2 linked regions of the Caenorhabditis elegans genome follow. The protein of the gene in region 1 interacts with the protein of each later gene in a pairwise test. Each region holds a gene or a part of one and is shown on either strand. Other genes may lie near its edges. The genes, in order: npl-4.1 and F19B6.1.

The links.
Region 2: the proteins of npl-4.1 (region 1) and F19B6.1 interact in a two-hybrid assay, tested with the Caenorhabditis elegans proteins (one large-scale study listed by BioGRID).

The regions. Positions count from the first base shown.
Region 1 is NC_003280.10:5,629,337-5,633,965, reverse strand, and holds npl-4.1 (Nuclear protein localization protein 4 homolog 1), read right to left. Parts: upstream 2,616-4,629; 5' UTR 2,608-2,615; coding exon 2,464-2,607; intron 2,413-2,463; coding exon 2,047-2,412; intron 1,985-2,046; coding exon 1,793-1,984; intron 1,746-1,792; coding exon 1,013-1,745; intron 923-1,012; coding exon 768-922; 3' UTR 682-767; downstream 1-681. Other genes in the region: F59E12.6 (ubiquitinyl hydrolase 1), read left to right, coding at 4,522-4,617. UniProt on the Caenorhabditis elegans protein: In association with ufd-1 and ATPase cdc-48.1 and/or cdc-48.2, involved in the cytoplasmic elimination of misfolded proteins exported from the ER.
Region 2 is NC_003282.8:12,330,896-12,338,045, forward strand, and holds F19B6.1 (Uridine kinase), read right to left. Parts: upstream 5,147-7,150; coding exon 5,106-5,146; intron 3,706-5,105; coding exon 3,602-3,705; intron 3,207-3,601; coding exon 3,061-3,206; intron 3,011-3,060; coding exon 2,657-3,010; intron 2,392-2,656; coding exon 2,194-2,391; intron 2,145-2,193; coding exon 1,762-2,144; intron 1,212-1,761; coding exon 863-1,211; intron 821-862; coding exon 686-820; downstream 1-685. Other genes in the region: F19B6.10 (uncharacterized protein), read left to right, coding at 6,298-6,471; wht-5 (ABC transporter domain-containing protein), read left to right, coding at 6,751-6,775, 6,826-6,953, 7,003-7,150.

The sequences.
Region 1 (4,629 bases):
GGTTGAGTAGCGCCGGAATGGTTAAAAACCACTCCTATAGGCATATATGCAAAAGTGAACAAACATCATAATAACACGTTTCAAAAACATTTTATCGACAGTAAAAACATTTATTGAGAGACATTTACCGAGTTTTTACCATTTTTGAAAAAAAAACTATAGCACTATCGTTTGTTCGAATTCTTATATTGTTCGAATACAAATATCGTTATTTTTCGGATAATTTGGATTTACTAATTCACTTATTTAAGAAAAATCCATTTTCAGAATAAAAAGCTGCAAAACTTCGATCGAAACTGAAATCACACTGCAAACTGCTAAGCGGAATTCGGAGTCTCGTTTGGCCACGCCCACTCTGTTCTTTGCACTTTTAATGAATTCAACTTTCTAGAAAAAATTGTTCAGATTTGTCTTTTGAAATTTTGTTTTTAAAAATAAAGAATACAAAACTTCAAAGTTTGAAACAAAATCATACTTTCTGATCTCTGGTGAGTTGGCCAGACGTCACAATTTTGAATGCGCACTTCGAACGAGACTGGATAATTCAAAAAGATTGAAAATGGAAAATGGATAGCTTTCTACGAATGGAAAACATTTCATAAATTGTATTTAACGTTTTTTCAATTTCTCCTGAAGCTTTGCTTTTGTTTTAGAATTAATTCTTAATTTGTCTTCATGAAAAATATGGAGAAAAGAATTCATTTGTGGGTGACTTTACAGAGCATACCAGTAGAAATACACTAGTAGAAAAGCAGAAAAATGAATTTTTAATCGGCAGCTGGCAATCCACACATCGAGCAATCCTGTCTTGCTGCTTCATTTTGGAATGTACAGTGTCCACAGTTCCACACAGCTCCTCCTGATCCACCACTGCTTGATCCGGAGAAAGGATCACCATTTGGAATGACAGGAATATCTGAAACTATGAGAAATCGATTAAAATATTCTTTGTAAAATCGGAGAAGCAATCATTTTCAAAATTGTTGTTAATCACACTAAAATAATAGCTTACCGTCATTGCCGCTTCCTCCATTAGCATGCGCTAAAGCCATCAACTGATGCCAATCTTCACATTCCTGAGCCCATTCCATTGCAGTTCCTCTGTCCTGAGCTTTAACTGCATCACACAATCGTTTCATCCATTCATCAGAAATCTGCACTTGGTCATTGGTTACTAAATAGAGCAAAAAGTGGAAGTTTGTAGCCTGTTCCAAAAATTGATTTTTAGAGAATTCGGATGAATATTGAATCAAATTTGCACCTCCTTGAAGTTGTCCAATTGCTTGTCGATTTTCAACATTAAATTTGGCACTCTTCGATTTATTAGATGTGCCAACGTGGAACGTGTAGTGAGGCTCTTTTGGCATTCCAGCAGGAACATCCACCAGCAAATATTCAACTGGAAGTGGTCGTCCGTTTTTCATAACCTCGGCTCCGTATTCATTTTTCATCGAAAATTGAACATCAGTTATATAATGTTCTTCGGATAATGGTGTCTCTCGAACATAAGCCAATTCAGGAGTGTACAGTGTTGGACAGAGAATATCAGCTTCAACCATGGCCGCACATTGATTTGAAACTTGATATCCGTGGAAATTAACATGCATCGATTCATCACCAGATGCAACAACGGTCACAAATTTGGATCCATAGTGACGATCCATCGAGTACTCTGTGATGTTTGGATGTTGATTTTGAAGCATTGCTGCGGTGATGCATTCCTCAGCTGATAGGAAGAAGGAATCCTGAAAAATTATTCGTTTTTTGGGCTTCTCTTCGAGATTGTTCTCACCTTGTGCCGTGTATAATGTACAGTTCCTTCAGCACTATTAGCTGTCCAACAATCTGTGAAGATCCATCCAACACGTTGCAAGCCAAGCATTTCCAGCAAATTGTCAATAGTTTTTTGATTTTTATCCTCCAAAAACTCAATTCCATCTTCACGGCAGTGTTGTGGAGGTTCATAAATTGCAGCCACTGTAGCCTGAAAGTATGAGCAATGAAATAACTCGTCTCAAGAAATGAGTGATGAAGTACTGAACTTACCTTGATTCCTAGTGGAACTTCAAGGTGAGGCTGATACTGTCCAATTAAAAATCCAACACGCTGATGGCCCGATAGTCTCCAATAATCCAAAAACTGATTTACAAGCTCTTGATTTTCAATTTGAATGTTATCAACATGACGAAACTTTTGACGATTCAATGTTACAACCTGTGGTTTGCATTTAGTGCAAATTCCTTTCGGGAACGGCTTGTGAGCATCACAGTTGGGTTTTAATGAACATCGAAAGTTTTCCAGCGGTTTTTTGAGAGTCGTGCCCTTCCCCTGGGATCCAAGGAGCTTGCGAACATGTGCATGGAAGCTCATATGCTTGATATCTTTTTCTTTCAAATATTCTTCATCGAATGGCTGTAAATATTGATATTAGTTTCTATGAAAACAACAGAAAATATCACTTACATCAACAGGCAAACAATTAGTGCACTTTTGACGTACAGGATGCCGACAGTTGGGCCCTTTTGGACGCTGAATTTGACCATCTTGCGTGCTTAAAAAAACATCAACGTCGTTGACACGCTCAGTTTGAGGGACTTCAAGTACCATATCTGAAATAAAATAGATTTTTAAATGCAGGAAGATATGCCTTCTAGGTAGTGAATTGAAGATATATAATTTTGAGATTTTGCAAAAATAATGCAGCGGAAAGGGTATCAAATTAGTTTCCATACATATTCAAACATTAAACAGCAAATGAAATAAAACATTTTGTTTTTAGAATAAAAAATGTCATCAAAACTGCCTAGACAACATGAATGACGAGCAAATGCGTACACAAAAAACCGTGCGGCACTCTTGCGAAATCCCATGCAACGCTTGCAATTTTCTTTTTTCCATCACATTTTCCAATTCCTTTCATCAAATTTTACAATTAAAAAAATGTTTTCTCTTAATTTTAGCGTACCTTTTCGAATTTAGTTTGACATTTAAATAATATCAATATAAAAACCTTCTTTCAGTAATGTCTCGACGCGTGGAATTCGATTTATCCACTGAAGATCACTCTGATCGTCGTCGCACCAACACCTTTTCTTGTAAGTTCACAGAATGCTATTTTTCAGAATTGATGAATAAGAGTAAAATGAGTTGAAAAATGTTAAAATTTGAAACAGTTCGAAAAGACTGAAGACTCGGTCCTTTTTTGATTAACCGATTTATTTTAATTCGGCAAACAGACATTTGGAGAATTTGGTCTGAAATAATTTTGCATAAAAACTGCAGATTAACATTCCATGAGCAAAATACATAAAATTCAGAAAAACCAAATTTTCCAAATACTGTTACAGTGAAGAATCAATGCCAATTCTCAGAACTCCCTCATTGTATATGAAAATGACTACTTTTGTCATTTTCAGTGTTTTTCGGTGTCGAATATCCTCAAATCTCAGATTAAATGAATCACAGCTTTATTCATTTGAAAGAAATAATAAATGAAAAGGTGTTCATAAGAGTTCATAAGAAGTTAATCATTTAAAAGCCCGAGAGAGAAGTTGAGTATCAGAGGATCAATGATCGTGCATTGTGAAATCTTTTCAAAAGAAAAATTGATAATCAATCAATAGAGTAATTCTATAAACATATTTATGGTAGTTATTTAGGTGCTTGTTAACAACACAAACTTATCTCATTTCTTAATTTTTAACAGCTTCAGCCGATGAGGATGGAGTTCCAAATGAGGTCGCCGACTACCTGGTCTACTTTTCCCGCATGGTTGACGAACAAAATGTGCCGGAAATTTTGACTCTCTACGATCAAGCTTTTCCAGATCTCACCGAGAGGTAATATTTAATAATCTCAAATTGTTTTCTATTTATCTTTTAATTTCAGATTCTTCCGTGATCGCATGTGGCCCGATGAGAATGTTGTCGAAAGAATTATTATACAGTATTGAAATAGTTAAAATCAGTTCCTAAAGTGCTAAAATATCACAGTAATAGTTTCCAAAACTGTTCAAAATCACTTTAAAAGTACACACCTTGAACTAATTGGCAATTTACCAAATTTTGGCAAAATGTCAAAACTTTGGCAGAATGCCAAAACTTAAAACATAATTTTTCCACGGTATGGAAATAGTTGAAATCGGTTTCTCAAGTGCTCAAATATTATAGTAAAAGTTTCCAAAACTGCTCGAAATCACTTTGAAAATATACATTTTCGATGATTTGGCAATTTACCAAATTTTGGCAAAATGCCAAAACTTCGACAATTTGCCACAGTCTCTCGAGATTCTGAGCAACCACGACCATTTACGCAATTATATATTCGTTCTATGGAAAAATTATTTTTAAATTCTTGTGATTATCACCGTCACCTCTTATTCGGCCTTCACGTAATCTCAGAAGAACTCACAATATTTTTAATTTTTATGGATTTTATTATACACGTCTCTACAACTCACATTTCTTCTCATTTCTCACTTTAGAAGAGAACTAGCCTAGTGCTAATTTTGTTTAATAGAAGATGTGCTCACGAGACGATGTAATTATTGGACAAGGTGATATTGAAGAGAAGAATTCAATGCGATCAATTCACGAGTATGGCTCACTGGAGATAGAAGTAGAGTTTAAG
Region 2 (7,150 bases), on another chromosome or scaffold:
AAGTTATTAACGTTTTCTTCAACTATAATTCAAAAAATACAAAGAGGATGAGCCAACCAAGAAAAGAGAGCTCATTGATCATTTAAATATTTAACAAACTGCAATTTATTATAGAAAGAAATTACTAAAATGCACGTGTGAAGGAAACTTGACAAAAATTGAAGAAAAACACAATGAACAACATGAAAAAGAGAATGCGTGAATGGATGATGATATTAAAACCGATTCCTGCAACGACAAACGCGCTCCGTTGAACAAAAAAGAAATGGAACAACGAGAAAACCGAATGTCGTGTACAGATTTTTGTGTGGAAACGCGCAAAGATGTAGAGGGAAGAATTTAACCGTCACAAACAACGCGAAAAAACACTAGAAAGAACAGGGTATAAATGAATTATCGAGCTGAATGCCAGAAATCATGAAGAGAAGTCAATAAAATGAAGAACGGAAAAAAAGGACGACAAAAAATGAAATAGCATATAAAATTTCAACAACAAATGGAAACAAAATGTATAGAAGGATGGATATGATGATGGGAAAGAAAGAACATTATGAATAATTATAATTATAATAATAAAGTTAGTGAAAAGGAACAAGAAAGTAGGAATTCATCAGATGAAATGGAAGGAAAACAGAAACTTTGATAAATTATGAAGAAAATTGATCATTTTTGTGATAACAGATGATCACATATCGAATGGCTCGTCCATGTCTTGTTCGAGCCCGGTTCCGTAATATCGATCACCAAAATTGCCCATTCCGGGAATCAGATAGCAATTTTCCGTCATTTGGTGGTCCATTGCGGTGGTGATTAATTTAACCTGAAAATTAATAATTTTTAATTCAAATAAAAAATTGTAAACCTTCGGGAAGGCATAAGCCAGTGCATGTGCACCTTGTTGACCCATAAGCAGAGATGCAACAAATATGTCTTCCTCTTTAACATCATGATCAAGAAGTACACGAATTGCCATCATCGCAGCACTCCCAGTAGTTACGGTGGCGTCCATAATGATAACTTTGTATCGAGTTATGTGTGGTGGCAAACGTATATAATGAAGTTCTGGATCAAACGTCGTCTCGTTGGTTTGAATCAAAATTTTTCCGATCACGCAGTCCTTGACGATTGAGCGAAGAGCAGTCTCCATACATTCGCCGGCTCGCATGATTGGAAGACCACAAATCTGAGCGTCCTTTCGTTTGCCAATAGTTCTGAAATAAAAATTAAAGTTTCTAGATGGTTGAGCCTATTTTAGACGTTTTCAATTGTTTAGTTTTCAAGTTTTATTTAGAAAAAGTTTATTCTTATATTGGAAACAATAGAACATTAATATCCGAATATCCGAAACCAAGATCTGAAACTTTGCAATTCTTAAGCCGAAAATACGGTAGCCGGTCTCGATTCGACAGATTTTTTGCTGAAAGAGCGCCTTTAAAGATTACTGTAATTTTAAATTACTGCAGAATTTTTATTGATTCTTTGTAGTTTTTCTATAAAAATTATTTCTGTATTAAAAAACTTGATTGAAACCATAAACAAAACTTAAAATAAAACAAAAAATCCGCAGTGATAAGAAATTGAAACTACAGTACTATTTCAAGGCGCACACTTTTGTTTAACAAACATTTGTCGTGTCGAGACCGGGTACCGTATTTTTGCAGTCAGATTCAGAAATTTCAGAAAGGTTGGCGCTGATTTCAGATTTCAAAAAGGAATTTTCAAATCTTGCAGTGACCATTTTTCAGTTTCAAATTTACTCACTTTCTACCGCCGGCCATCTCAATCTCAACATCTTTGTAAGGCATATGATTCATGCATTCTTCAATAAGAATACGCATTAATCGATCAGAATAGAAAATATGATTGTCTCTACTCGTTTCTCGATCACGAACAAACGTGACAAGACCTTTGACCTGTGGAGTTTCTTTTAAAATGAACAGGTTTTCCGGCAAACAATCCGGTAGATCGTCGCGAACCAAATCGTGACGATCACGGTTGTTCTGATTGCGATCGTATCCGCGTTCAACGAGCTGTGCCATCACGTTCTGCACGATCATGTCGATGGCGACGTCGTTCTCTCCACCGCGCGGAACGATGAGATCAGCCGAATCCATGCATGGTGCAATGTATTTGTCGAACGCCGGCTGCAACTCGAAAGTTACTTGAGACGACGAGTTACAACAATTCTCTTACTTTTACAAATGTAAAGTACTGCTCCATGATGCCGTCGATGTCACGCCCACGATCAGTGACATCCCGAACGATACGACGAGCTAGACGAAGATCTCCATCCGTGTCGACGAACACTTTCATGTCCATTAAATTCTTGATACGCTCATCATGGAACGCGAGGATTCCTTCGAAAATCAAAACGTCAGCTCCATACATCATCTGAAAAGCAAAATAAAATAATTCCATCTGCAGTTTTTTTCCGAAATTGCTAGTAATTTCACAAGATTCCCATTTTTTCGGAACAAAAAAAAAGGATATTTGTAACAATTTTTACATAAAATTTGAAGAATTCGGCAAACTCGCTAAAAATGAAGTAAGTTAATTGAAAAATGAAAGGAAATCGAACGAGGAAGTGCTGAGACCCATCTGAATGAAAAACAGAATCCTGTGAAATTACGAAATAATAATTATAATTATAGCAAACCTTCGAATTCGGATCTCTTGAATGAGTATTAAAATCATAAACCGGAACATCAACACTCTTTCCCTCACGAAGTCGTTTCAAAACTTCGTAGAGCAAATCAAAGTCAAAAGCATTTGGCCCATCAAAATTATATCTTGATTCATGTGCTGCTTTGATTTCTTCCGGCGTCAGAACTTTATAAAAGCTGTCCATTGAAAGAATCGTGACCCATGGTATTCCGAGTCGTTCGACGATTTTCTCGGCGACAGTAGTTTTCCCACTGGCAGATCCTCCACAAACTCCAATTACGAACGGATGTTTCAGTGACTTTCCCTTCTTGTCATACCATGGTGGACGTCCTTTCGTATATATTTTCTAAAAAATCGAAAATTCGTTTTATTTTTAAGTGGAATTAGAAACCTTACCTTGCCGGTCTTAGTGGTAAGAAGATGATGTTCAGCACGTCCTCCACTCATCGTTCGTCTTCTCGTACGACATCCAGCGGCTCTTGGTGAAGTCGAATCCTCAGAATCTCCACCACTTTGGTTGACCATCTCGTTGACAGACGAACCTGTGCGTTAATAAAACGATTAGGAACGGTAGAAACTAGAAATTGTGTCTAGTAGTTGTTGCGCCCCTCTTTTTCTCACTCTCTCCACCCGATTTAGTCTCGATAGTTTACAAGATAAGCATCTTGAAAAAACAGTCATTCATCAATCTTTGCGCCGCCGGGAGCCTTTGACAGGGGCAGAACCAGTTGATATCCTCAAATTTTTTGTAAAGGGAAATGTCTATTTTATCAACAAGCACTATCAGTTGAAAGAGAATTGTCTCTAAAAAGTGTCAGACGCAATTACAAAGAATGGGGGATTATATTGAGTGAAATGAAGTCAACACGTAGTGAACTCCACCACCGGATGACACACAATATTTGAACAAATGTTACGTGATACAGTCTTCCCTCACCTGAGGAATGACTATACGTGGGACAGTCCTCGATCTTCACGCTTTTTCGGTTGGCATCCCCTTTCGAAGCAGCCACATTAGCATCACGCTTTTCTGCGACCATCCTGAAAATAACATAGAATGTAAGGAATTTCAAGGTAAACAAGGTGATGAGATTACTGCGAGGGCAGACTACTGTTTATGTAAGGTTCCGGGTAAAGAAAAAATGTGACGATGATTATTAGTGACAAATAATTTAGGCCAAGTCAATATAGGTTGAATGATAATCGATTTGTTGATCTTCGAATGATCAATCGGTACAGAAGTTTGTCAAATAAGAAGAAAAACAGGAAACTATTCGAAGACATTGTAAATTTTAGGAAAAGCTTCTAACTCCAGAGAGTGGTGCAATGTTCCGTCGCAGTGTTTGCGGAGTCTTGTTTGAAAAATTGCGCGCGAAAGTTTCAAGTGATAAGAAGCAATCGGTGAATCTAGATTTAAATGTTCCAGCTCGACTTTTTTTCGGCTGGAAGTGCAGTGAGAATATTGTTCAGTATTAATAAAAAAAATTATTTTAGGCCAATGTTGAGCATTTGAACAAACAATTTAGATCTGCTCTGATAAAAACTGTTGCAAAAATTTCTTCATCATTAATTAAAATAAATTAATCATGAAATAAACTTGTTGTTTCTGTTTGATGACAACATAAATTCCAGGTGGATTAAAAATTAAATTTTGTGAAAAAGTGATTTTTTTTTTGAATAGTGAACCATAGAAGACATTGAACTTATCAAATGAAAGGCGAGAAAAAATGGGAAAAATGCGCGAAGATCAGTCAAAAATGGCCTTGTGCCTGTCGTACCGGAGGGACAGTCACAACGAGTGTTTTGATATATATCTGATGGTCTTTGTTGAAAAATTCGGTTCGTTGGGGGCACGCGACACGAGAAGGGACACAGGCAAGAGACGATGGACCGACAAAGAAAAACGGGGTAAAGCTGCTAGCTGAGGCGTAGTGGAAGAAAAGTCTTAGGAGACGCAGACGGTGGTTGGTGGCCGATCAAAATATAGAAAGTGCACGAAAAAACGACGCGGCGGATCCTCAAAGTTAAAGAAACGGAGACGCTTTGAGAAAAGAGAGCCATGGCACGGAGGATGTGTCTGTGCCCCTGTCGATCAGATGATCTATGAATGACCGATAGGAAGAGTCAATGAGCGAACTTTTTTCGAAATTCGCAATTTTTCCCCCTTGGTGAGGGCAGAGAACTTTGATAACTGCACTGACAAAAAAGTGAACACGTCGAACGGGAAGTTCCCGCCCTCGGAATGAATTTTGCAGTTTTTCAATAGAGAGCAGGAATTCAAAAGACATATTAATATTTTTCCATTTTCAACTCGCCACACCACACAAATATATTTTGCAGCTGAAAAAACTAAATAAAAAGGGATTTACAGCAAGAAAAATTAAAAGAGAAAGGAATTTTTATTTAAAAAAAAACATCGAAGGAATAAATTTTGACCGTACCTCGTTGTTCGCTGCAATACCCGACTCCTTCGTTTAGACATGTTCCTTTAAAAGCAGGCCTAGAATTTCTGAAAAAACGTAAAAATATATTTATAAATTAAAGTTTTAGGGCAAAATAAGAATTTCGAAAGAATTCTAAAATTGAATGATGCAAAAAAATAGTCAACCAATTATTTTGATCCCAGTGTCCTGCACCTAAATAAATCGCAACGTGCACTTTTCAAAAGCAAACAATATTTGTGCCGACAGTGGGCAAAAACCTCTACATTGCAGAAAAAAGAGATGATCGGATGACAAAATAACGGAACAAAGGTGAGAGAAAATAAGAGAATGCAAGAAAGTTGTGATAAAAATAGGAACAAACAGTAGATTACCGGGGGAAAATCACTGTCGGACAACTCAAAAACTTTTTTAAAAATATGATAATCTAACTTTTTTGAAGAAAAGGTTATATATGAATGCAGAAAAAAATGTGTTCCATCTGGAAATAATATTTATTTTTGTCAAAGTTTTGAAAAAGATGGCCGACGTTTAACGGCACTTTTAACTGCAAACGACAACTTTCCGACACTAGTTGAGGTCTTTTTTAAAGTTATCAATAAAAAATAAATAATATTTTGAAAGGAAACAAATATTTTTCTACATTTAAATATCAATTTTAGTTTTAAAAAATAAGATTATCATATTGAAATATACAGAATATCGTAATGTTATCGGGCACAATTTTCACTTAAATTCAGCATTTTTTTTATCAGTCAAGCCTGTTAGTGTATATTTACAATAATATTTTTAAATTCAATACATAAATATGTATGTCACAAGTTTAATTGAAAGGAAATGTTTCATGTTTTTTCCCGTAACCTTTCAATAAATTAATCACCCAAGACTTCTACAGTAACCCAAGGAATAGCAATAGAATCGTTATTTAAAAATTGACTTATGAAATCATTGGCGCCATGATTACATGACACTTAACTATATACGTAACCAAGTTCCGCTGATGAGAAAGAGAAATGATGTTATGAAACTCAGTTTCCACCTGAAAATCAGCTGATAAACAACGCGGCAAGACAAACAATCTTTCATCAACACAAAAACTTTTTTTTGCTTCTTCTGTGTTCAAGTTTCAAAGCTTATTAGACACACACCACGTCAAGATTTCATAGATCACAATTGGTAATACGAATTGGATATGGGGATGGTATATGGATCAATGAGTGAAGGTTATGGTTGCCGGTTGCCGAAGATGTTAGACCTCGTGTATTTCAAGCCTGCCTACTTCATGCCTTTTTCTTACCGGTCTAGGTACCTACTGCATGCCTACCTTTGTGACTACCACATTCCTGCTTACACACCTACAGCATGAAGGTTTATATGCCTACCTCATGCTTGCCTACAAACCTACTGTATACCCTATGAATATTATAACCTGTATGAATATTTTTTAGTGATGATATTTAAATTTGAAATAAAGCTTTTTTGAGAATTTTTCTTTTTAACGTGACATTCTGAAAACCTAAACCCCTATTTTTTATTTGTTCTAATGTCAAAGGAGGGGGAAATCATTGAAAATTGATTTATTTCTCAACGAGTGCCTCATTAAGCAATCGGTTTTCGATATTAATTCTAGCGGAAAATCGAAAAAATGGATAGCAAAAGCGAAGAAGCTGGTAAGATTTTCAAGTTTTCTTAACTCTACGATATGAAACGAACCTTTCAGAACCTTTGCTAAAACCTAAAAATGTGGAAGACGAGGGTCTAATTACCTCGCTGGATGTGGACCCCACTCAAAAGTCACGATCTCCAACTCCGAAGCCAACTCCGATCCCGGTTCTTATCAATGATACGGTATGAACCTTACAGACTTTTACACCTGGAATCTTCGATAATTTTTCAGCCAGTAGCGTCTGAAATTGAACAAGTGGAGAAGGAATTGGCACATTCGAGTGAAAGATTCCGAAAACCAAAGACTCTTTCTGTGACAAATGACACTGAGTCAGCTCGAATTCCGTCCCAAGTAAAGACAAATGCGAAGAAATTGGTTT